Saccharomyces cerevisiae S288C: one gene and its partner. The protein of the gene in region 2 purifies or fractionates together with the protein of the main gene of each other region. This does not show direct contact. Each region holds a gene or a part of one and is shown on either strand. Other genes may lie near its edges.

The links.
Region 1: the proteins of UBX3 (region 2) and TUL1 purify together in Saccharomyces cerevisiae (affinity purification with western blotting; 6 studies listed by BioGRID, with this or other methods). This does not show direct contact.

The regions. Positions count from the first base shown.
Region 1 is NC_001143.9:369,903-376,021, reverse strand, and holds TUL1 (ubiquitin-protein ligase TUL1), read right to left. Parts: upstream 4,194-6,119; coding exon 1,917-4,193; downstream 1-1,916. Other genes in the region: TTI1 (Tti1p), read right to left, coding at 1-566; YKL033W-A (haloacid dehalogenase superfamily protein), read right to left, coding at 807-1,517; UGP1 (UTP glucose-1-phosphate uridylyltransferase), read right to left, coding at 4,632-6,119. UniProt on the Saccharomyces cerevisiae protein: Catalytic component of the DSC E3 ubiquitin ligase complexes that tag proteins present in Golgi, endosome and vacuole membranes and function in protein homeostasis under non-stress conditions and support a role in protein quality control.
Region 2 is NC_001136.10:292,892-299,811, forward strand, and holds UBX3 (clathrin-mediated endocytosis regulator UBX3), read right to left. Parts: upstream 1,869-6,920; coding exon 501-1,868; downstream 1-500. Other genes in the region: RNA-binding signal recognition particle subunit SRP14, read left to right, coding at 1-330; RAM1 (protein farnesyltransferase), read right to left, coding at 2,143-3,438; NUR1 (Nur1p), read left to right, coding at 3,929-5,383; FG-nucleoporin ASM4, read right to left, coding at 5,526-6,920.

The sequences.
Region 1 (6,119 bases), on a different chromosome or scaffold from region 2:
TCATTATTTTGGGGCGATTGCTCCAGAATTTTCAACAGAATGGTAACAGAATGTCCTAGAGCGGGAAGTAAATTAGGTTTTGAGTTCGAAAAGAACTCTTTATGGTACCTTTGCGATCTTACTGATTTGAAAAACTGATGCAAGACTAAACAACCAGCGTACTTGAACTCGTCTGATCTAGTAATTAATTTTTGATTATCTTTATCAGAACTGACTAAAAATGTGATTAAGGGGAACAGTTGTTGTCCCAATTGCTCGGAGAATTTACCATTAGATGACCAACATGTCCGTAAGAGATGAAATATAATTAGTAGGACGTATTCTGTTTGAGACTCGCCGAGAGCTGGCTGTTTCAATAAACTCGCGATAGGAACAAAAACATAATCTGCAAATTTTGGCGAAAGTGAATCGTCTTCGTATGCTGATAACTTCTCTTCAACTTTTTTTAAACATGCCAATAGCGTTAATGAATTTGGATCAAATGATTCGGTGGGTAAAAAAGCGATCCTAGAAAGTTCAACACATGAAATTCTTATGTCCTTAAATGCATTCGTGTCTGAATTCATTTGCACAAAGCTTTTGAACACCAGCTATTGCAATCTTTCCTTTCGATGTGCATGTTCACTATAATATTTTATTGTAATGAGATTGAAATAAAACGATAAAAACCCAAACATGTACTATAGTATATTATACAAAAATAACTGAGCTCACCACATAAAGTAGTGTGATAAATCAAATACAAATCATCCCTTTTTATACTTAGTGCAATATACAAATATATTGTTTACGTAAATACTGGAAATTCACAGTCCATATTTGGACATTTCCAGTTTTTCCAAAGAAGACAATAGTTCACCTTTACCGGCTAACAAAGCTTCTGTGTCCCCCAAAACAGCATGTGCTTCTGGATGGGGGACCCAAATAACGTGTGCACCAAATGCCTTGGCTGATTTTACGCCTGGAATACCATCTTCGAACACTATACACTCATCGGGCTTAATATCGGTATGAAACTTCTCATTCAATTCCTTTAAACCCAACTGCCAAATGTCCGGGAAAGGCTTACCCCTACCTTTTGCAATTCTTGGATCATCACCAGTGACAATGGTATCGAAAAGATCAAAACCTTCCTCTAAATGACTTGTTTTGCCGCGAAATTTAGTCTTGTTCGAAGACGTACATAATGCAATAGGAATGTTCTTTAACTTTAAGTATTTCAACAAATTCAATGCACCGGGAAGAAATTCGCAAGTACCCCATTTAAGAGATTGCAATGCAACATTTCTTTCGTCGTACTCATCTAAAGTTATTGGTAATTTGTAGTGTTCGATCACCCTTTTTCCTGCTTCCGGTCCCGGAAGCCCTTGCAATTTAATCTTCACATCCCAAGTTAAAGGTCCCTTACCAAATTCTGCGAGAGTTTCATTTAAAGTTTCAGTATAAATATCCTCTGTGTTGATGAGAAGACCATCCATGTCAAATAGACATGCCTTCACTGCTACAGGATGTGTCATAATTTGTTAAAAAAAAGAAATTTACTTTTGCGTTCTTATTGTCAAAGAAACAAAAGCAGTGTAATTGGAAGGCAGTGACGGTCTTAAGATTCCCCAACTTGGAGTTGGAGCGATTTAGATTCACCTCAATGGATCTTGATCGGCAATATTTTCCCAATAATTAATTCCTCGAAAAATGTGTCATACGGAAAAAGGGTAACACTAAAAACCCTTGTGAATTATCCTAAGTCTAGTTTGCCTATTGTATATTTAAGCAAAACTACTTTAGTGGTAATAAAAAGTTAATGCACTATTCATGTAAAATTTCTTATTGCAATGGTTGACAAATAGGAAATGTCACGGTATCTTGGATCTTGAATACAAATACAGTATATAGTTCTTAGGATCAAGAGATGCTATCTACAACGGAGGTAATGGTGACCTACACACAGGACATTGTAACTTATAATTCATCCAGTTTTCTAGACACGAAGTATGAAATACGTGATTACAAGGCGTTACCATGTAAGAGTGCTGATCCACCTTATGAGTTTCTGGAATTTCCTCTATGTAAATTGGAACATCAGACATACATATCGCGCAATCAACGGTATGTTCAGCAGTTCCACCACCATGCTCCGATATATACTCGTTTGAAAGGGGCTTGAAATACGAATATCCATCAGGTATTGTGTGCTTAGGCAAGAACCAGCGCGATCCCAATACATCTTGAGAATACAGTATACTAATTTGAAACAGTAGCCACAATGATAAAAATACGACGAAATGAACATCTTTATGGTGCCTGAACACATTAGAGGAGTAAGTGAAAACATACACAACGGGCAAGCTTCTAATTATTGTTGTACCAATTACAAAACTCCACAATAATGGCATTTTGTTTTGACTTCTATTTCCTCCAATGCTAGATCTTGCTCTTTCTCTTCTTGAAGGAATACCTTTAACGGCGTTACGGAAAATTTGAGGGATCCAATATGAGTTTAATATGAAGATTAGGATATACTCAAATACCATCCTTAGCTGACGGGGCCATGAAGTTGAACTCAATATTAAAAACGTGAAAATGATTAGCATAAAGAAAAACCTACCATATAACGAGCCACCGATAGACCCTTCATCGGGAATGAATGCGGGTCTTGGCCTATTCTCATCATATGTGCCAGTGTTACCACGCAGGAGGTTGATAATCCCAACATTCTGTTCGTTAACCTGTGAAGCGTAAATTGAAATTAAGTAGCGTATTTCAAAAATAGATGCCAAGATAAAGCACGAAAAAGCACTTATAACTAGGGGTAAGTACAATTCGGGAACGACACTAGCTGCGACAAAGTACAAAGTGGCCAAGGAACCATCGACTAAGTTTATCATTGAGAAACAATAGAATGAGATTTTGTTGACCATGGAGGGGGTATTTGTATGATGCATCTGAGTAAGCAATAAGTATATCTGGGCTGCAAATAATGCAATACCGAACAATAGATGTTTTCTGATCGACATTATTTTTAATTCGTACCGTGTACCCTTTACGTTATGAAGCCCTAATCGTACGCCACAGTCTGGAGAATACAGTAATCCAGAGACAACATTTATGGGCGGTAAACTAGACAGATTTGCCGGACGCCCCAGGGGCCAATTCAATTCATCATCTATTAACTTGATCTGATCTCTTGTGTACTGATTCCATGGTTCCAACTGAAGAAAAATCAAATACTCACATTTAAAGTTGGCATTATTATAAGCATCCTGTACGTCTTTCATGGTCATGACATCTGTGTAATCCGTGAAATTCCAAAATTCATCAACGAGTTCCTTGACATCATTAAATATTTTCTCATTATAATCATTCTGGAAGGACATGTAATGAGGAAGGGCGAACAATGAATGAAATTTAGAACTCTGAGAAATAGAAAGAATTCTACCACGTTGAATGTCATATACAGCCTTCGAGTATATGGAATGCTTTTCCTTTTCAGCCTTATCTGAGAAATCAATCTGAAGATTTAACAACTTCCAACGGTCATTTTTCTTATTTATGAAATTTCTCCTTAAGTAATTATTATTGTCCTGAAGATTGCTCATATGAGAAATTTGAATAGCTATTTCGCCATGCTGAAAACTCACATTATGAAGTTCGCCATACGAAGGCCACTCAGACCAGTACGTCTCACCTTCAGGAGGAATATCCTCTGAAAAATCAGTTGCCGGCTCATAGAATCTGGGTACAGGCATCCTTATCTTTTCGTACTTGTTATTTGATACAAGGTCGATTTTACCTAACAGGGTGCTTGTAATATTGGGAGGGAAAAGGTTGGAAGCGTCATCATTCGAAGTATTCCAGACTTCAGTATTTATGGCCTCTATGACATCGTTGGGCAAAACCATGTAGTTTTGATTGGGAAACCATCGATCATAATCTTTTCCTGGTAGTGGGTAAGTGGCATTTTGGAGAGGATTATTCAGCATGTCTTGGTAGCTGAGTTTAAGCCCGGTAATATTTCGAAAACTATCTGTATATGTCATATTGACGAACGTATTGTGCTCTGTTCGGAACTGCTGCTTGAGTCTCTGGAGTTGATTGAACTCATATTGAGAAGACACACCATCACCACCCGGTGAGGAGAAAAATAGGAAAAGGATCACTATTATGAACACCAGAGTGTTGCCATCGATTTCCATACTGTACTTTTGCCTCTTTTGCTGTAGGACTTTCCTTTTTTGCCTGAATTAGTAGAAATACGGGACAAATGTAACAAACGAGATTGAACTTGCTTTTTTACAATATCTTTTGGGGTGATAATTGAAAGATGACGATCCGAGCTTGTCACCTTTAACTTACGTTTATTCTATTTCCCTAAAGTTCACAGACCCTTACCCCGCCAAAGGAAAATCTCTATATATACTGAAGCTACGCTTAACAAATATATAACATGACGTGAGTGAAGAATTATGAACACTAAGCTTCTTTTGCATTTTTTTTTGCTTCTGTATAAGTCTAAACATATAAATGTGTATATATTAGAGATATATAACCCATTGAAAAAAAAAAACTGCGTGTAGTAGAATAAATAACCTAACGGAGAATTGAAAGTAAAAAAGGGATTGCAAGCCGCACCTTCAATGTTCCAAGATTTGCAAATTACCAGTAACGACAACATTTTCCAATATGGAGCCGTTTGGAATATCGATTTTATGACCGTCGGAGCAAACGATGATGACAGTACCCCTCAAAGTGACATCTTTACCTAAAAAGACGTTACCAGTGATGGTCAAATGATCTAGCTCGACGATTTTTGGGATGTGAGGGATTCTTGCGTTAAAACCAGAAACCTTTTTGAAATGCGAGCCCAACTTGATTAATGGGTTTGGACCAAAACGGGATGGGTCTAACTTCAAAGAACCGTGTTCCAGACGGAATAGATCTGATTTAACCAGCAACAAATCGGAACAGGTCTTGACAGGCAAGAATCTTGATCTTGGAACGACAACACCGTGAGCACCATCAAAATGCCTGATAGCAGCACCACAAGCGGTTTCTAATTGTAAGACATTAATTTCATGACCGTCTCTTGTTATAGTTTTTTGGTTTGGAATGATTTCCATCTCCAAATTGCTCGATTCGATCAACCTCTTTACTGCTTTCAGATTGATCCATAAGTTATTCGTGTTGAAGTTGGTAAACTTTCTGATATTTTTGAATTCGTCAATGTGTTCTTTTGGAACTTGGGCGACTTCCAATAAACGGACTTGACCATCGTAAGAAATCAAAGTACCACCTTTAACATCGGCTCTGGTCTTATCAGTCAATTCCATTATATATTCGGCACCAGTCTCGATCATGTGGTTTAAAATTTTTAAGTCGACGGTAGCACCCAAGTTGTCACCGTTAGAAACAAATAATATTTCTCTTCCTTGGGCAATTAAGGCATCCAGTTCACCAGATACGTGTAAAGATTCAAACAAATCACCGTGACCTGGTGGATACCAAGCATCCAGTGGAGAATCGTATTCGGTGGGGACAGGCAATAAAGAATCCTTGTAGACTCTTGGGAACCTGGATTGATTGAAAGATCTGATTCTGATTCTGTTAGCGGAATACTTCTTAATCAAGTGTTCCGTATCCTTGTCAGTGTTGAAAGAATTCATCAATAACAATGGCACGTCGCTATCGTACTGTCTGTTCAAGTATTCAATTTGACGAACAGACAAATCCAAAAAGGTGTTTCCCTCTCTCACTTCAATAACAGATTTAGGGCCAACGCAGCCCATGGAGGTACCCAGCCCACCGTTCAACTTCAAAACAGCCAATTTGGAAAGGTTTGAGACATTCTCGGGCTGCTGAGAAATAATTTCATACTTAACCACTTCATCCGGGTTGGGAGACTTGATCTTGTCCCATTCCAAGGTGGTTCTAGAAGACTTCTCTACCAAATATCTCCTGAAAAGCGTGAAAAACGAATCCAGTTCGTTCTCAAACTTAGCGCGAGCAGCATCGTCAAGTTTACTAGAGTCCGCCAACTTGTTTAAGGCGTTTCTCATTTGTGAGGCAGCAACGCTGTTTGTGTTGCTCTCGAATGCATAAGTGGAATGTGTTTTGGTGTGCTT
Region 2 (6,920 bases):
ATAGAACACGATCCTGTGGAAGGGAATCTTGAATTTGATTCTACCAACCATCCTGACTATGATGTATCTAAAAAGGCTTCTGAAATTTCAGTTAGCTCAAGATCTGACAGAGAATACCCACTATTAATCAGAATGTCTTATGGCTCGCATGACAAGAAAACAAAATGCTCAACAGTGGTAAAAGCAAGTGAGTTAGATCAATTTTGGCAAGAGTATTCATCTGTATTTAAGGGGGGCATGCAGAATTTGATCAAGAAGAAGAAAAAGAAGAGTAAGAACGGTACCATCAGTAAGACAGGAAAGAAAAACAAGGTAGCGAAGAAAAACTGATGCACGTGACACTTGAGTCAAAAGGCATGTGCGCCTCTTGTTATCTTTGGATGTGTAGATTAAAGGATGGCAACGTAGATATAAAAGATTAATTGCATAAAGTTGTGTAGATATAAATTTAACTAAACTTTAGAATAAACGTTTTGAGATGACTATTTTTGAAATTCCTTTCATTCGTCCAGGCGTTCCATTACAATATTTCCTGATGGATATATGCCGCTAACGTCAGATATTTTGGTAGATAAATCAAGCTCTCTTCTTGGTACCGGCGTGATCAATTTGAAGCTATACTGGTGCTGATAATTAGCAGGTTGGTATACGGGTAAAGTATCGTTTTCTGAGTTCAACATGTCATGCAACTGTAATTCTACGAAGGCATATATCTCCTCCGTTGGTAGAGATGCGTCAAACTTTCTCACTAATCTCTGCCCATTTTCTAGTCTGATCGCAACTTTGCTTGCATCTTTATCAGAAGAGGGTTCGGGTTTTAGTTGGCTTTTTCTCCACAATAGCCATTGGTTTTCTATTCTTTGGTGCTCTCTTTCCATTTGTTCTCTTTGGGTCTGTTCCAATCTTTCTGATTCTCTTTGTTGATCACGTCTTAAGGAATCCTGGTATCTTGAATCCTGTTGTTGTCTTATTAATCTCTGCATTTCAATATTTTGTCTTTGCTGACGCAATTGAATTAATCGAGAATAATTCTTGGAGAATATGGCCTCCAAATCTTGGGCTTTGTAGTTAGAAATAGAACCTTCAACTCTTGCTATTAACTCTATTTTTTTCTCAGCCTTTAAAGAAATTATTCCAAGTAGGGGATATTGCCTAATTTTTAATGCATTGGAAACTTGCAACCCCTCGGATGTAGTAACGTCACCATACCATAGTAATACCTGGTACTTCCTTATCATGTTAACAAAGGCTTCTGAGCACAATATTTTATTAACGTAATCCATATGATTATCCAACAATGGGTCATGTAAATAAATGACTCCAAATTTCACTTGTTCGCTACAAGCATCCAATAATTCAGTGTAACTATTTTGCATAATGCTTTTGGAAAATGTTCCATTTTCAGGGTTGTATAAAGAACCAAAACTAAACTGGACCCCACTGCTCTCATTGTTGCTCGTACTGTCAGTATTGCTGCCATCATCATTATTCCCGTTACCTTCAGAACACGTTACAGCTTGAGCTTCGTTTTCTAGATTTTCTAAAAGACGGTGTAATTGGGAACTGTGGTCTAGTAAACGGTTGTGCTTCCTCTGGTAGAATCCGTGAAGTCTTAATAGAGGTTTTAAAAGACGTGAACTTCGGACAATGAAATTCAATAAATAATAAAGAACTATTAGGGGAGCTTGAAATAAAAAATGGAGTATTGATTTTAAGCGTCCATCCCGGCTCTGTGTGGGTTCATTTGTATTGCTGTTTTGATCTTCTGTCCTTCCATTCAAATCAGCAGGTGGTTCTTCTCTAAAAGCACCTGGGATTCGAATAAAGGAATCATCATTATTTCCAAAAGTATGCCTAAATATATCCATGTTTAAAGGGTATGTTTAAATCGCAGTCAAGCCGATTGATGAGGTACAACAAAATTTGGGAGTACGATTGCCCGCTGTTTTTGAACTTACTCTCACTTTTTGCTTCGTATGTAATTAAGCAAGGATGTGTTACAATAAGATTTCGCTTTGTTATTATCGTTTTAAAAGCGGTCGCCGAAGTGTCGAATAAAGGACAATGATAACGTAAAGAGAAAGAAATTGGAAAGAGACTGACCGCTAAGGAGATTGAATACATATATATAATAGTATGTGGTTAACTTGGAGAAGATAAATTGGATTTAAAGTAGTGGATAATTTTTCTTACATTTTCTATTGGTAAACCATAGACAGGGTTGACATCAGTAAGTTTCGATGATCCAATTAGGCGGTCTGGAGTACACTTAATATTATGTGGAGAATCATTAGGAGTGCAACTGTATGAACTTTCCGCAACAGCCAGTCCTAATAGGCAATAATTTGTATGGTAAAAGTCTGAGTGGGCCCCTGGTTTATCTCTCAAACCAGGTTGCTCTTTTTCTTGGCAACAGTACAATATGTAGTCCCGAAGAGCATGTTTGTTGAAGCATTGGCCATATCCAAAAGCTTCAAGAATGGCAGCCGAACCTCCAACCCAAAAACTATAGCAACCGTCAACAAGTTTGTTGCTCCTTCCGCAAAATCCTCGTTCTTCTTGCAATTGACGAGCACTAGACCATTCTAAAAGCTTTTCAACATTTATTTGGTCCATGGACCTTAAAATTGCTAGACTAGCTGTAGCACAGAAAGTATAGCCTCCGTGTGCCTCATCTACGTGAGGACAACTGCCGAATCCACCTTCATAATTTTGACAATTTTTCAAATAGTTTAACACACCTTCTGTAAGCTCTTCTGTAAGAATATTTAATAAGGTTGCTATGCTCAAGGCACAGTATATACCTCTTGTATCCACTTCTCCGACTTCTAAACAGGTCTTGAATCCTCCATTAGGCTCTTTCAACGATATCAGCCATTGGTAAATTCCTTTTCGATCAATTCTGTCCCAGCATCCATCTATGTTATCGCAAAGGGAGAGAGCATTAATTGCAGCATAAGTGCTGGCCAAATGAGATAATTGGCCAGGACCTCCACCAAAGGGTCCTCCTGAAGGACTAATAGTAAAGAGCTTATCTACAATTTTTCTTTTGGTGTCATCTGAAAGCCAGTCTCTGTCCATTACCTTCAATGAGTTAGCAATCCAATATAGCATCCACGGTTGTGAAGCATCTAGTGCTGTCATTTGTGGAGGTAACGATATCTCAAAAGCGACATCCAAGTACATTTTGTGAAACTCTTTCGTGAGAGCAGGTTCTATATTCTTTTCATCATCGTATATCTCTAATACACTTTGTAGTACTTTGTATCGTGCTTCTGTAGTGTCGGTTTCTAGTTCCTTCATCAATGGTTGGATTGCTTTACTTGAATCTACATGCGCTATATCGACGACTCTTTCCATAACTGGTCTCTTTCTTCCTAATAAGGCAGTATTTATAAATTTAGCCCTAGCTATGGACCTTCCTACTCTCTGTCGCATACGCTTTGATTGCCTATAGCTTTACAAGCACTGCAGTTGTTTCTGCATAAGAACGGCGATGATATGGACCCTTGCTTGGTTTATCCTAGCCACTTTCGCGTGTTTCAGTTTCAAGCTTTCCTAATCAGGCAACAGCTTATACGAAAAGATTAATAAGTTACAATGTTAAACAGTTTCGCTTCAAGACCTCTAACGTTAGCCAGAAATAATAAGAATAGGTGGATTAAGTTACAAGTGTTTTTGTCCTCCTACTTAATCAGAACAGAGCACGGGAATAGTGATCTCTTTCAATAGCGAAAGGAGGGAAAAATAGCCCTGCAATATATAAAGGAAGAAGTTAACACCGTATTAAAAGGGGTGAGGCCGTTGGGACAAGTGGTAGTTTCCTTAAAGTCTGGTTTGATTGACAATATTTAGAAGTTAGTGAAACGAACAACCTAAAAAACTTTGTTGTGCAGTAGAGAGCTTTACATTTACCTTCGGCAGTAAAATGGGTTCAAATGATTTGATAAATGAAGCATATGACGACTCGGAAGTAGTTGGTGAGGAAAGAGAATCAAAATCTGCATGGATGAAGAGGTGGTATCAGCTACTTACTTCTCCTTTAGACTTGCAGTTGGTAATAAATGAAAAGTTAGAAATGATCAACTGGGATGCTTATGCTAAAAGTCTAGCTAAGCCATTAGGGAATTTTTTAACAATACTTTTTTTTATCATAAGACTCTTGCAGGACAATTTGATCAAGCCCAACTATTACAAACTAAACGTCAAGTCTGGCGCTTTCGATCTTTCTAAATCCAATAAATTAAAAGAGTTTGATTATCTATGGGAGATATCATCCAGCTTTCAAAACAATAATCAATTTTATGCATTTCAATCTTGGTATTTTGTTACCTTAAGGTTTTTGAATAATCTTTTCAGGTTTACTATTTTCATACTGCTGTCCCTGAACCTGTACGTAAGCTGTAAATTCATGTTTGGATACTTTAAGACTTACAATCTCTTCCATTTGAAAAAAGAGTTCAACTCCCCAAACCTCACTAAACACAACTTGAAGGATCTAAGCAAAGAATACTATGAAGATATTTATAAGCAGTCCTTGTGGTCTATGTTGAAGCATTTTTTCAGAGGATCTCGTGATGACGGTCCTCATGTTAATCAAAATGAAGATGAGATATTTTTTCAGTTAAGAAAATGGATCCCCACTAACTTCATGATTAATCTTTTTGTGTCTTTTTCACCAACGGCAATTGTTTTTTTAAGCTTTTCTGATGTTTCGTTTACTTCAGCAATTGCTATAGTATTCCATCAATATATTCTGGATTATATCATAACTAAGAGATTTCAAAGAAGCGTGGACGACGACTTGATTTTATCAAGTGCAGCTTTGCAAGAATATGAGGACAAGCATATAATGGCACGAATTAACCAATGCAGCAATATAGATACTCTATCATCTGCAATGGGTACTAGATCTAAAACACCGAGAATATTCACCACTCACTCCCTATGTGGCGAAGAAATCAGAGAGGTTTATAATTATGAAAAAAGGGAATTTGAGGCATTACCGAAAATGACAGAAAGTGTGCCAGGATCCCGTGAAACCAGAATAAAGGATTATGGAGGCATTTCTCAAGTATCTGACCATCAAAGTCATCCCATTGGTTTTCATTATTCTCCTAGAATGTCCCCATATTATAGGGATAAAGTTTTGGATAACAATTTGGCTCAATCATCGTCAAATGAAAATTTAGAGAAGGGCGGAGCTTACCTGCCGAATCAAGACCAAAATAGACCATCGAAATCCCTGAGCCCATTGAGAAAAACGCCTTTAAGCGCACGACAGAAAAGGTTTGAAGGCTCAGAGTTCAATGTATTGAATAAGAATGATATTAATTCCATTCTTCGCTCTCCAAAGAAAAAGAAGAACTATCACAAAAGATAACGTTTCTTAATTATGTCTAAGTATATACAGTTACGTAAAAATCAATAAACAAAAGTAAAACAATGCTGTTTGAAAAGTTATCAAAATAATAAATGTATGAAGTATTGTAAATGTTCATGAATAATTAGCTGGACGATTTCTGTTATAGGTCATTCCAACCAAATAACCAATTACTCAGTTTGTGCGTAAAACCAGCAGGTTCATTATTTCTGTATTTCGCTTCTTGCTGACGCATTTTCGATTCTAGGTTTCGCAACAGATTAGGAATATTCGAATTCGGTCCTGCATTTTGCATGAATGGCAATTTGCCATCTATTACATCCAGCCGCTTATTCGGAGAATTTGCTACTATTGGACTTGAAATATTTGTTGGATTACCAGCATGACCGGCAGGAGTATTATCGTCTTCCCTCAGAAGAGTGCCATCAGTTATTATTACGTTTGGTGGGGATGGTGTATTAGATGTCGACGATGTGGAGGAATTTTGATACATAGAAACGTTGAATTCTCCAATGTCGTCGACATTATCAATTTTGCAGCCAGCTAATTGCTCCACCGCATTTTTTGAATATGGGATGCAACCAATCAAAGAACCGCGAAATATGGTTCCATTTTCCTGCAGTGCTCTCAAAGCAGAAGATGGAGAATTATAAGTGAGTTTGACCCAACTTTCACCAGTAAATATTGGATATTTTTTGTTATTCGACTCATTATTTCTGCCTTTTAAAGTAATAGATTTATTAACAGTAGAATCGTTTTCATCACAGCCTGTATCATGATTATGGAATATTCTGAAGGTGTTGGGGTTAATCCCGCGACCCAATCGCAATACTTGAAAGTCTTCCATAATATGACCGAAATGGGAGAAGTGTTCAATCAATTCATTGGAAATTGATTCAGGATAGCCAAATACGATAATTGCGCTCAAACTAGAAGACTTGGAAGATGTTTCATGGACTTTATTGTTTGTTTCGGCGGTGTTGTAATTATTATCTAAATGGTTCTGTTCAATGTTTGCTATTCTAACATAAGAGTCTTTATCAAAAACATTTGGAGTATTTTTGGAATCATAAGCTGACCTATTTGTTTTCTTCGCCGTGTATTTGTCGGTAACAAACTGAGTTGTTAATGATGGAATAGAACCGAATTCATCCTCGCGTTGCCAATCCTGTAAAGTAACGGAGGGTGGAATATCGTTAAAATTTGACAACAGAGAATTGATGTCATTATTTGCCGCAGACTTATTTCTTTCATTATGCTTGGAATCTTGATTTTGCTTACTGAAATTTCTCATAGTAGCGTTCATAGAAGATGAATCATCATTCTGGTTGATGTCAGAAGAAGAATTTTGCTTTGTTGTCTTCCTTCTTATCACCGTATGAGGAGTGAATCTCTTTTTAGGATTATTCACCCAGCTAGGATTATTCCCTTGGCCATGTTGGCTTATGTTATTTGTGCCGTTTTTAATGTTGTTGTTGTTGATGCTATTGTTACCGATATTACTACTATAGTTATTGGCGTTTACAGTATTGGAAAG